Macaca fascicularis: one gene and its partners. The protein of the gene in region 1 purifies or fractionates together with the protein of each later gene. This does not show direct contact. Links are inferred from orthologs where the notes say so. Each region holds a gene or a part of one and is shown in the gene's direction. Other genes may lie near its edges.

Region 1 (3,562 bases):
CTTGAGCCCGGGAATTTGATACCAGCCTGGGCAAAATGGCGAAAACGCTTTCTCTACAAAATGAGCCCAGGGAGGTTGAGGCTGCAGTGAGCAGAGATGGCGCCACTGCACTGCAGCCTCACGACAGTAAGACTCCGTTTTAAAAAGCAAAAAATAGATGGTAGTGAGGTTTTAAGTTACTATTTCTCCTTTAAATATGCCAGCTATATAATTTTAAATCAGAAAACACTAAAATGAAGCCTAAATTCATAACTAGTTTTAATAACTTAGTAGATTTTATCTGAACTTATAGGCATTATAGTTAACACTGGCAAAGTTTTGAAAATTTTCACAAGCTGAGTTTAGAAAGGGCAAAATCATAGATTCATATTTAATTTTTAATTGCAATTGTTTATTTTGTTGGTTGTGGAAAACTTAGTAAATTAGAAAGGCAGACAATTTGAAAATACTTGGGATCCATTAAGTTGATTCTGGATTCTTAAACATTCTGGTGTTTGGTTTCTTGAACCCTTCTTGGTTTTCTTTAAATTTGCATATTTGTGAAGTAATAGGAATGATACTATGGCCAGATACTGTTTAAGGCAAATCCCGGACTTGGTATAATTTAATCTCTAACTGTTTCAATGTATGTCTTTCAAACATGCAGGAGACAATATAATATATCCTTTTTTTCTTATTTAGTAATGCTACAGCCCTTTGACTATGATCCGAATGAAAAGAGTAAACACAAGTTTATGGTACAGACAATTTTTGCTCCACCAAACACTTCAGATATGGAAGCTGTGGTAAGTACAGAAGAAGAATTTATTTTGGGGAGTGGAGTTTAAACTGTGGGTTTTGTTCAGCAGTCAGTAGAAAAACTTAATTTCTAAAAACTAAAAGTTAAATTTAGATTTTTAAAAAAGTGCCAATGTCTTCATTGTAGATAATCGTAACTTACAGAATGAAAGAATTTTTTTTTTTTTTTTTTTTGAGACGGAGTCTCGCTCTGTCACCCAGGCTGGAGTGCAGTGGCGCAATCTCGGCTCACTGCAAGCTCCGCCTCCCGGGTTCACGCCATTCTCCTGCCTCAGCCTCCCGAGTAGCTGGGACTACAGGCGCCCGCCACTGCGCCCGGCTAATTTTTTCTATTTTTAGTAGAGACGGGGTTTCACCATCGTCTCGATCTCCTGACCTTGTGATCCGCCCGCCTTGGCCTCCCAAAGTGCTGGGATTACAGGCGTGAGCCACCGCGCCCGGCCAAGAATTTTTAAATAGTATTTTTTTTTTTTAGAAACAATTTAGAAATGCTGCTACTGGCCTAGTGCAGTGGCTCACACCTGTAATCCCAGCCCTTTGGGAGGCTAAGATGGGAGTATCTCAAGCCCAGGAGTTCGAGACCAGCCCAGGCGACATGACAAGACCCTGTCTCTACAATAAAAAAAAAAAAAAAAAAAAAACCCAACAAGTAAAAAAACCAACAGATGCCTGTAGTCCCAGCTACCCAGGAGGCTTGCTTGAGCCCAGGAGTGGCCACTGCACTCCAGCCTGGGAGACAGAATGAGACCAACTGGAAAAAGAGAAAAAAGAAAGAAATGCTGCTCTTAAGAAGAAAGTCCTGTGGTTGCTAGTGATATCATCGTGATTTTAATGGATGGTGATAGTAACTCTAGGATTATATATTCTGTGACATTAGCCAGTAACGATGGCAGGGTGATCAGTGAAGAGGGCACCAGTGTATTTCAGCCAAGCCAGGCAGCTACACTCATCTTTTAGCTGTCCCATGAGGTCACACTTACTTACCATGATCATACCTCCTATGTCTCATTTTTGGTTTTGTTTATTTTTTAGTGGAAAGAGGCAAAACCTGATGAATTAATGGATTCCAAATTGAGATGTGTATTTGAAATGCCTAATGAAAATGACAAATTGGTAAGTAGGAAAATGTAAAAAAAAATTGAAGCTTTGAGCACTCAGTTCCTTTGATTAATTTTGCTTCTATTTTTGACCTTTGAGGTATGTGTGTTATGGCTCTTTCATGTCATAAGACTCAGTGGTTAAGTTTTAAAAAACTTGGTATGCTTTTTTTTTTTTTTTTTTAAATAACATTTTGTTTATCCAAGAAGAAAGAAAGACTCACTTTTAGGTCTAGACTACATCCTGGAGAAGAATCCTTTAAGTATAGCAGATTTTTGTGGCGTAAACCACTACAGGTTCTTTTTTAGAATGAGACATGTATACATAATTTAAAAATACATATAAATTGCTTTTTGGCCATTATGTACCAGCAGTTTGGGGATAAAAAATTCACTTACATGGACAGTTTATTCCAGGTTTAGCTATTCCCAGGTATTTTGCTCACTTTTGTTTTTAGTCAAATCCATCTGATTGCATTCTTTAGTAAATAATTGTTATGCTGCTTACTCATTAGTGTAGGTCAAATACAATTTGGGGGACTGAGGGATATATGTGTTTATTTAAAAACAAACAAATAGTAGTCGGTGAATGTACAGAGTGGATTATAGTCACTTACCTTGTCCTTTTCCCTGTCTGGGTTGCAAATTTGAATCTTTGCCTATGGTAAGAGAGACTTGAAAGATAAGTTTTTCTGTGTGTGTATGTGACTTAATACATACAATAATATGGATAAATAGAATTGTTTGGCACGATTTGGTTACAGTCTGACATGACTACTGCCTTAATCTGGTGGCCATTTGCTCTATTGAAAAGTAAACATGCAGATTAAATACGTGGGCTCAGTTACTGTGTTTCTCTTTCAGGATAAGCAGAAATGAAAAGGTCTCTGGCAATTAGGTGTTGACCAAATTAGTTTTTGAATTTTTAAAATACCTCTTTTAAGTGATTTTTGAGGTATTTGCCAAAAGCAAAAAAATGTGAACACGTATATTCTCTGTAAAGTGAGTGTTAGATGGTCTGTGTATGCTTCCCATTTAGAGGTTTTCTTTTTTGGCTTAGGCTGAGGGAAGCTAATAGCTTGCACAGCTCTTACTGTTGAAATCAAGAAAACAAAACAGCGTATTGTCTGGATTGACTTTTTTTAAAAAAACATTTGGATATTTTCTCACTTAGAGTTTTATGTCATTTTTTACAGTAATTCAGTCAGCATAAATCTGTCTTCTATCTGGGCTTCTGCTATGCTCTGGATAGCACACACTTTGAGATGTGTGAAAAGCATTGAGACCGCAGGTATTTGATACTGCTGATTAAGAGTAGCTCTCACTGGTTTGGAAACCAAACCATTACTGATACAGTAATGACAGTTGAACCCAGCGATTTACCCATCTTGGGTGAAAAGAGCCGTTATGCCTACCTATTGGTCTAGCCCATAGTTATCCAAGAAAGTAGTTTTGGGTCTCTTTTAGCGCTTGAGCAAATACCGAATGGAGTTCCCAGAATCGCCTGTGGTGGAACTGGAGCAGCAGTAGTTTGAACGTGGAACCTTTTCAGAGCAGGTATTACTAGTAACCTGAAAGCTGTTAAGTAACTTCAAAGTACTCTAGAGAATATCTTGAGTCTGAGCCTTGATTAGCTGGGTGCTCATGTATTTTCACTAATTGGATTA
Region 2 (4,024 bases), on another chromosome or scaffold:
ACAGGTGAGCCAAGTAATATGGAGGGGAGCAGGACTACAGTGCAGTGAAGAGTGAACTGGGCGAGGAAGCAGCAGTAGAGAGCACTTTACAGTGAGTCTTCCAAATCAGGTAGGAAAGAGGGGGTAAGGTTAGGCTAAAGGAGAAAATTGCCATGAATTTTGTCTCTAAAAATGATGATTAAGAGTTAATGAGAGTCAAGATTTCAGGCCTGTTAGAGCAAAGCCCCAAGGAAATAAGAGTTGGACCCTGGAGCACAGCTGAGTCCTGGCTGGAGGGGTGGGCCTGTCTTTCTGAAAGGAGATCATGGAGAAAGAGGTGCAGATAAAGCTGTGTGGCTGCTTGAAGAGGGAAGTGATTACTTCCAGCTGGGGCACTCAAGGAAGGGATACAGACATTTGAGTGCCAGGGGCATTTGAGGGTAACAATGGAGGGGTTCAGTTGGCCAAAGTTAAAGGCAGCTGAAAGATGGCAGAGGACGAGACCAGGAAATGCAGACCAAGGTGGGTGTGGTATGGTTGGGGTGCTGGGGTCAGATGACACATAAGCGTCAAATTCCCGCTCCCAGTTGCTTCTTAGCTGCGTGTTCCTAAGAAGTTCCTTAACACGTCTGAGATTCCCCATCTGTAAAATGGCGACAATCCTAATAGGGTTGTTGGAGGAGGACTAGATAATGTCTAAAAAGAGCTCAGTCCGGTCCAGTGCTTAGCTCCTCCGTACCTGAGCGCCAAGTCACTACTATAAAGCCATCGGACGTGTCCTTTAAGGGAAATTAACTGGGCCACACGGTGTGAAGTGAACTGAGCTAGGAGAAGCCTGCACAAGACCTTGTATACACTAGCTACTCAGGAAACAACTGCATGCTCTGCTGGGCATCTCATATAGGATACGGTTTCCGTCTTTCCTGGGCTCACACATAGTCCCCAGTTCAGTTCCAAAGTTGGAAGGAAAAAGGATGAAGATGTAAATTCTTCAGTTAAGCCTCTCGCCAACTGCTCCTGCGGCGAGGCAGGGCAACGAGGTGCAGGGTCGCCAAGCACGTGCTCCCAAGGGTCCTCACTTTATTAAACCCGGCCAGCCAAGGACAAGGTAACTCCAGCCTGCAGCGCGCGGGGAAAGGCGCGCAGGCGCAGTGCTGGCAAGGGGGGGGAGCTCACCTGTGCTGGAGTGGGCGGAGCTAAAGCCGGAGCGGCATGACGTCATGAGGACGCAGCCGCAGAGCGATTCACGTCCCGGAAGCGGCCGTGGCGGCGGCGGCGTAGGCGGAGGAGATTTTCGGACCTGCGACTTCCGAACGGCCCTGGCAGGAGGAGCGGCGTTCGGCCGGGGCGGGCCTGAGGAAACGCTCTGGGGCCCAGTGGCTCTCCCCCTGCTCCTGCCCGAACCTGCCGTCTCTCTTACGGAGCCAGTGGCCGGGTACGTGAGGTGCCGGCCCCCCCCACCCCGCGTCCCCGTGTCTCCGCAGGCTGTGTGTAGTTGGGCGCTTGGGCGCAGCGGGGGCCGCCACCTGCTGGCCCAGCGAACTTGGGCGTGGCCTTCGCTGTCCTGCCGCACGGGCTCCATCAGGCCCTCCTGGCTGCAGAGGTCTTGGCCAAGGCCAGTGCGGGCGTCGACCTACCTCACCCCTTCCTGGGCTTCTACCTGGCGCCACTCTGTGCCTTTTCGCCCTGGCTCGGCCTGCGTTGATTTCGGCTCTCGTTGGCCCCTTTGTCCCATCCCCTCACCATCCCATTGTCGCGGCTAATTGCCTGGGACTGGTTTATGTTGCTCTTCGCCGAGGTTCCGCTCCCTCGTTTGCTGCTTAGCGTTCAGGGTAGGACTTTGAACTGGGAAAGACCGTAAAGGCTCCTGGGTTTCCTCATCAGAGAGGGCAGACGGGAATGCGGCGTTGTGATGCCGACTGCCCTGGGCGGAGATGGCCCAGGAAGTTGTTGGGAACTGAAGGGAGTGGGAAGGGTTAGAGGATGGGGCGGGAGTCCTGGAACACGGTATTTCATTCACTCATTCAGCAGGCATTTGTTAAGCACCCACTGTGTACAGAAACAGTCGTGAATGGCGGCCAAGTAAGAGCAGGGAGTTTTACTTGGACGTGGTAAGTGCTCTGCACTTGATCTTAGCCACAAGGCCAAGAAGCGATGTGATGTGATAAGTGCTCTGTTAGGGTGAGTACGTGATCCTTTGGGAGCATTGGGGAGGGTCTCCCAGTCCAGAGTTGGAGGTGTTGGCAGAGACTTGCCAGAGTAAGGGAGTGATGTTTAAGCTGATACCTGAAGGATGAGTAGGAATTAACCAGGTAAAGAGTGGGAGAAAAATGTTCCGGGACATCATTTCATTTCAGCCCATGGGCTTCCTCGCTGCAGCGATCAAATATGCTTGGTTTTTATGAATTTTAGTTTTGATGGATCTGTGGGGAAAAGAGCATTGGACGGAGAGTCCAAAGAACAGGATTTTAGGTCTGAATAATTCACTTTGCCTTGCTCACAGGTTTACTGTGGCGCCACCTGAAGCAGTAGGTAGAAGTGTGTTGGGGACTAGACGTGCAATGCAAATGTTGGTAATTATTATGGTTACAGGATGCAGACTTCAGAACGTGAGGGGAGTGGGCCGGAGCTGAGCCCCAGCGTGATGCCCGAGGCTCCCCTGGAGTCTCCACCTTTTCCTACCAAGTCCCCAGCGTTTGACCTTTTCAACTTGGTTCTCTCCTACAAGAGGCTGGAGATCTACCTGGAACCCTTGAAGGATGCAGGTGATGGTGTTCGATACTTGCTCAGGTACAGACTTTGTGGAGTTGCTCATGTCTGCTGTGCCTTCTGCCTTCCTGCTCTGTAGTAACTGACACCGGCCATTTAGGCAGTGCCTGGGCTGTCCTTTCTGCCCTAGTGAGGAGCAGTTCTGGGAGGTCTTTTCGGCCTCTGGGTTTATCTAGGCCTACCCTGTGTCTCAGACCCAGCCCAGGAAAGGCAGATACTGGGAATGATCCTGCCTTTCAGCAGGATTCTTCTTTGTGACTGAATAAGCTCCTTCCTCCGGACTGCTGGACAGCCTTGAACATCAGGCCTTCTGCAGCTTAGAGCAGGCTTAGTTTTTTCCTTTGCTCCCAATATTGGCTTAATTAATATTTAAAAATTAGGATATAATTTTGAACAAAAGTTTAAGAAATACAAAAATCTATAAATAAGCAGATACCATTTTCACTACTTTTTTTTTTTTTTTTGAGACAGGATCTTGCTGTGTTGTCCAGGCTGGAATGCAGTAGTGTGATCATGGTTCACTGTGGCCTCAACTTCTTCGACTCAAGCGATCCTCCTACTTCAGCCACTGTGCTTGGCTAATTAAAAAAAAAAAAATTGTAGAGAGGGTCTCGCTGTGTTGCCCGGGCTGGTCTTGAACTTTTGGGCTCAAGCGATCCTCCTGCCTCAGCCTCCCAAAGTGCTGGGATTACAGGTGTGAGCCACTGCGCCCAGCCCATTTTTGCTAATTTATTGAGATTATGGATTTTAATTTTTTCCCTCCTATCCTGCTTTGATTTTCATTCTCTATAATTTTCTTTTTTTTCTTTTGGCTCATTTTATTATGTTAAAATTATTATTATTATTATTATTATTTTTTGAGACGGAGTCTTACTCTGTTGCCCAGACTGAAGTGCAGTGGCGCGATCTTGGCTCACTGCAAGCTCTGCCTCCCGGGTTCATACCATTCTCCTGCCTCAGCCTCCCAAGTAGCTGGTACTACAGGCACCCGCCACAACGCCCAGCTAATTTTTTGTTTTTTAGTAGAGATGGGGTTTCACTTGTTAGCCAGGATGGTCTCGATCTCCTGACCTCGTGATCCACCCACCTTGGCCTCCCAAAGTGCTGGGGTTATAGGCGTGAGCCACTGTACCCAGCTGTTAACATTATTTTAAATTACTTATAGGGCATTCTACTCCCTAAATATGTCAGTTTTTCTCTCTAAATAATTAAGGACGTTTCTTTCAAGAACAAAGTAATATCATACCTAACAAAATTAATAACTCCTTGGTATCAT
Region 3 (4,090 bases), on another chromosome or scaffold:
ATAAGTAATTTATTTGACAGTCAAATAAGTCTGTCCTAAACTTATCTGGCAGAAGCGTCTGACTCAAACTGAATGAGGTTATTTACTTGTATTTATTTATCCCGTACGAACAATCATGTATCTTGCTGCAAAAATATTAATATATTTGATTATGCAGTGTTTTCCCTAAACTCCCTGGGGTATTACAGAATATACAGTATATGACATTTGGTTTTTACCGAAGTCCACCAGACCACAGCAGACCTTGCCCTGATTGCTTGACAAAGTCTAGAGCCCCTTTCCAGCCTCTCTGAGGCCATACCCCTGGCTCCAATCCAGCCTTTTCTTGAGTAGTAATTGAGGCTGCTCGAACAGCTCAAAATGCCTATCATGACGTCAGTTGGAGAAACAAATATGCTGTGTGATCATATTGAAAGTCAATGTTATCACCTTGATGGTCAATGACCCGTGGTTTAAGAACATTTCGGTTTTTTAAAAAGTACCTTTCTATTTTTATCACCGGACGCTGGGCAGTTGAGGATCAGAATTAAGCCATTAGCTCGTAGGCTTGCAATGATATCTGCTCAATAAATATTTACCATTTAGCTGACGCACATCTTGGGCAGTAAGAACTTCTCTCACATCGTGTCGGCAGCGACAGACATGTGCGGAGAAAAAGTAACCGGAGGCCTTATACTGGCTCAGCTCCAGCAATAAATCCATCATTACTCCATGGAATTGGCACACTCCCCGGGTATATCTCAAGGACCCCACCCTCTGGCCGGCAGGATCGTATCTAGGGATCTCAATTAAAGATCTCGTAGTCAATAAGGGCGAGTTGTTCTAGTAACGCCAGAGATGGTGGACCTGCCGACGCCCTAGGGTGGGACATTCCGGGCTTGGATAGTAAGACATCGTAAATATACGCCAAAATGTCCACACCAACGTTTCCCGAGAGCACTTCTTTACAAGAAAAAGACCGACCCAAAATCATCCCTCTCAAAACGCGTCTCTTTGGAACTGCAGTTAGGGAGTAAGGCGTTCTGACTGACCCCACCTACGTCGGGCGCGCGCTCTCAAATCCCGGGCACCACGGTTCTAGACTCCTCCCTTCGGGAGGCTCAACCCCTCCCTTCTCGGCTACTTCCGGTCCTCACCGAACGCCCTCAACGCGCTTGCGCCGTTTTGATAGGCTTCCCAGGCAGAAGTAATCAGAGCGCTGCCTCTCTGGAACCGCCCCCGCCACCTCTTCGCCCCGCCCACGTGTTACCGCCCCTCCCGAAATCTCGCGAGGGTAGGTGCGCGTCGGTATTTTGCGGGCAACTAGCTCTTCCAGCTGCTGTAAATTGCTGCTGCGGGAGAAACTGGAGCCGCTGTCGCCGGCGCGCCCTTCCTCCCCCACTGCGAAGAGCCACCGCCTCTTTTGCGCTCCTTATACACCTATCACTGGGAGCGGTGGCAGCAACAGTCCGTGGACCCACCGCCGCCTCTTCAGGCGGCCGCTTTGCCGGTCATTCCCGAAGCCCGGCAACTGAGGGCGGCCACCTTTCCTTAACAGTCTCCTCTCTTCAGATCGTCTGCTCCCTCAGCCTCGCCCGGGACCCACTTCCCCAGTCTCGCCCGGGTGGAGGTCGACGAGGAGGAGACAAGAGTCACCCTTCCTCCAGGCGGCGCCGGCCCCCTCACCCGCGGGTGTGTCCTATAAATGGCGTCGGAAAGCGACACCGAGGAATTCTATGATGCCCCTGAAGATGTGCACTTAGGGGGCGGCTACCCCGTGGGGTAAGTAACTGCAGCTGTGGCCAGGAAGCCGGGCATCCCAGGCCCCCCGCATCTCCTGTGCCTTCCCCCTACACCCCTCCCAGGTCCCGCTGTGTCCGCCACCGCTGTTCCTCTCCGTTTCACTGGAGCACTTCAGAACCCAGACCTGGGGCTTCTTAGGGTGGGGTGACGCGGAGAAGGGGGAGTCGCCCACCTCGGGCCGCCTCCCGGCCGTTTCCCTACTGAACGGTCCCAGGGTCTCTCTCGGAGCCCGTTTCTCTTCTGATCCAGCCTTCTGTGAGGGGGAACAGCTTACGTGCCTGAGAGTCGGAGATTTGTATCTGTGGGGTTCTGAGCTTACCTTTCAAACATCCGTTTTGGCCTCGGAGACCGTAGATTAAAGGAGCAGTAACAGGAGAAATGTAACTTGTAGTTTTTTATCCTCCCGTTTACCGCTAACTTACCTATTCACTTCAGAGGTGGCTGTAACTCTCCCCTATTTGCCGTCCTCTTTTTCTTGCACACAGCGAAAATGAGCGGGGGGGAAGGTTGGGTATTTGCTTAAGAAAGTCCTCTAGCGAATGTACTCTAGATCAACAGTGTTTTATTAAAATAACACCTTGTCATGAGTTAAAGGAAATCGATTACACGGTCCCTATTAGGAAGAATGCGGTCTAAAAGGATGGCCAAACAGAAGAAATGTGCACAACTGACTGCAGAGGGACAAACAAGTGCTGAGTAATCTGGTGATTGGAAGGAGAGCCCCAGCTTTGTGTTCTTTATCTAATTCTGCACGATGTTTTAGTGGTGATTAATATGGGTGATTCTGAATAGGAAGTACAGTAGTTGGAATGCTCGCTTAACTAGGACTTGTATTTGCTTACCCACTTCTCCACTTTTCAAAGTTGGAGTAGTGCTTTAAAGCAATTTCGCCGAACTCCCCTATGAATGTACGTGGAAGTAGAGGCAGTGAAATATATTTTCATGCTGTACGAACTTGATGATTGGTAAAATTTGTATGTTAGTATAAAGGACTAATATGGTTCCAGAAGTTCACTGCCTTCAATTCTCATACTTACTCCGTGGGAGAAATACCCCCTGTGATGCAAGTATAGTTAGCCATGCATGCTAGAAGTCATTCTAAAAACTAATGTGTGTTTATACACAATATACACCAAAAAGTTACAGTAATAAAATCAGAAAGCAATGTACTTTGGTAGATTTCAGATATGTGTCTTTCCAACAACCTTCATGTCACTGTTGTGGGATTTTGGGGTGGCAATGGCCAATCTTGAGATGGCACCGAATCTCCTTCAAGTTCAATATCTGAGACAAGTTTAGAGCTAAGTGCAGAGGATAGGAAATACATTTGGGTTTTGAAATGTATTGGATTTCCGTGAAATTTAATTTTTTGTGTGTGTGGTTTTCCCTTCACAGTAATGAACTGACAATTCAGATTAAATGAGAGACCAAGTCCTTTGGTACTTTTGTGTGTGTGTATTGGGGTGGGGGAGGAAAATCATCAGTTTATGAGATGGTCAGTTTAGAACTACTCTGTGGATATTGTTTCTTTCCATTGAGTAAGTTTAATTTCAAAGGACGCAAGTTATGTCAGGACCTGTGTAAACTGTTTAGTCCAGTACCTGGGCACAGAGAAAGCATTCAAAGTGTTCGTGCTCGTCTCCTTCCTTTCTTGGCATTGGCATATTTGTTAACTTTACACAGAGCTTACTTTGGGAGATATATAGAACTTGGAGCTATTTTACTTATCTAAACCGGATGAGTCATTTTGACAGAATTGATAGAGTCACTTCTTCCCTCATGAGATAATATAGCTTCTCAAGCACTTTGATCCTCTGATATTAGGTGAAGACTAAAAAAGTTTCTCGGAACTCAGCTTTCTAATTTTAACGTTAACCTGCCCAATTACTAAGTGTGTTGAGCTCTATGGATAAAACTACAGGGTCAGTTTGTGGATTTCAGGGCTCCTTTCTGTATTAGAGGATTGGAAAGAGAATAGACTAATCTGGAGAATTGCATCTGAAAAGAACTGGCAGCACTGAGAGGGCAGAAAAAGGTTAGCATCATTTACATGTTCCTCTGTCCTTTGTGAAAGGTTGTATCATTTGCATAAGACACTATGAGGAGATCTGGGTGGGCAACTTACAACCTGGAAATGTAGTGAGAAATCTTGATTTGTGGAGACAGATTGCGTAACTAGATACTGGTCATCAGAAATATGTTCTGTTCCTTGATATGATCTGTAGTGGCAAACTATACAATTTCTTTTTTTTTTTTTTTTTTTTTTGAGACGGAGTCTCGCTCTGTCGCCCAGGCTGGAATGCAGTGG

The links. The genes of interacting proteins can lie anywhere in the genome.
Region 2: the proteins of VAPA (region 1) and ZFYVE27 purify together in Homo sapiens (co-immunoprecipitation; 3 studies listed by BioGRID and IntAct, counting the BioPlex papers as one, with this or other methods). This does not show direct contact. The link is inferred for Macaca fascicularis from reciprocal best matches to the Homo sapiens genes VAPA and ZFYVE27.
Region 3: the proteins of VAPA (region 1) and WDR44 purify together in Homo sapiens (affinity purification with mass spectrometry; 3 studies listed by BioGRID and IntAct, counting the BioPlex papers as one, with this or other methods). This does not show direct contact. The link is inferred for Macaca fascicularis from reciprocal best matches to the Homo sapiens genes VAPA and WDR44.

The regions. Positions count from the first base shown.
Region 1 is NC_088392.1:78,284,307-78,287,868, forward strand, and holds part of VAPA (vesicle-associated membrane protein-associated protein A), read left to right. Parts: intron 1-681; coding exon 682-785; intron 786-1,830; coding exon 1,831-1,911; intron 1,912-3,562. UniProt on the Homo sapiens protein: Endoplasmic reticulum (ER)-anchored protein that mediates the formation of contact sites between the ER and endosomes via interaction with FFAT motif-containing proteins such as STARD3 or WDR44.
Region 2 is NC_088383.1:106,691,099-106,695,122, forward strand, and holds the start of ZFYVE27 (protrudin), read left to right. Parts: upstream 1-1,220; 5' UTR 1,221-1,414; intron 1,415-2,571; 5' UTR 2,572-2,572; coding exon 2,573-2,769; intron 2,770-4,024. UniProt on the Homo sapiens protein: Key regulator of RAB11-dependent vesicular trafficking during neurite extension through polarized membrane transport. Promotes axonal elongation and contributes to the establishment of neuronal cell polarity.
Region 3 is NC_088395.1:124,674,936-124,679,025, forward strand, and holds the start of WDR44 (WD repeat-containing protein 44), read left to right. Parts: upstream 1-1,286; 5' UTR 1,287-1,684; coding exon 1,685-1,761; intron 1,762-4,090. UniProt on the Homo sapiens protein: Downstream effector for Rab11 which regulates Rab11 intracellular membrane trafficking functions such as endocytic recycling, intracellular ciliogenesis and protein export.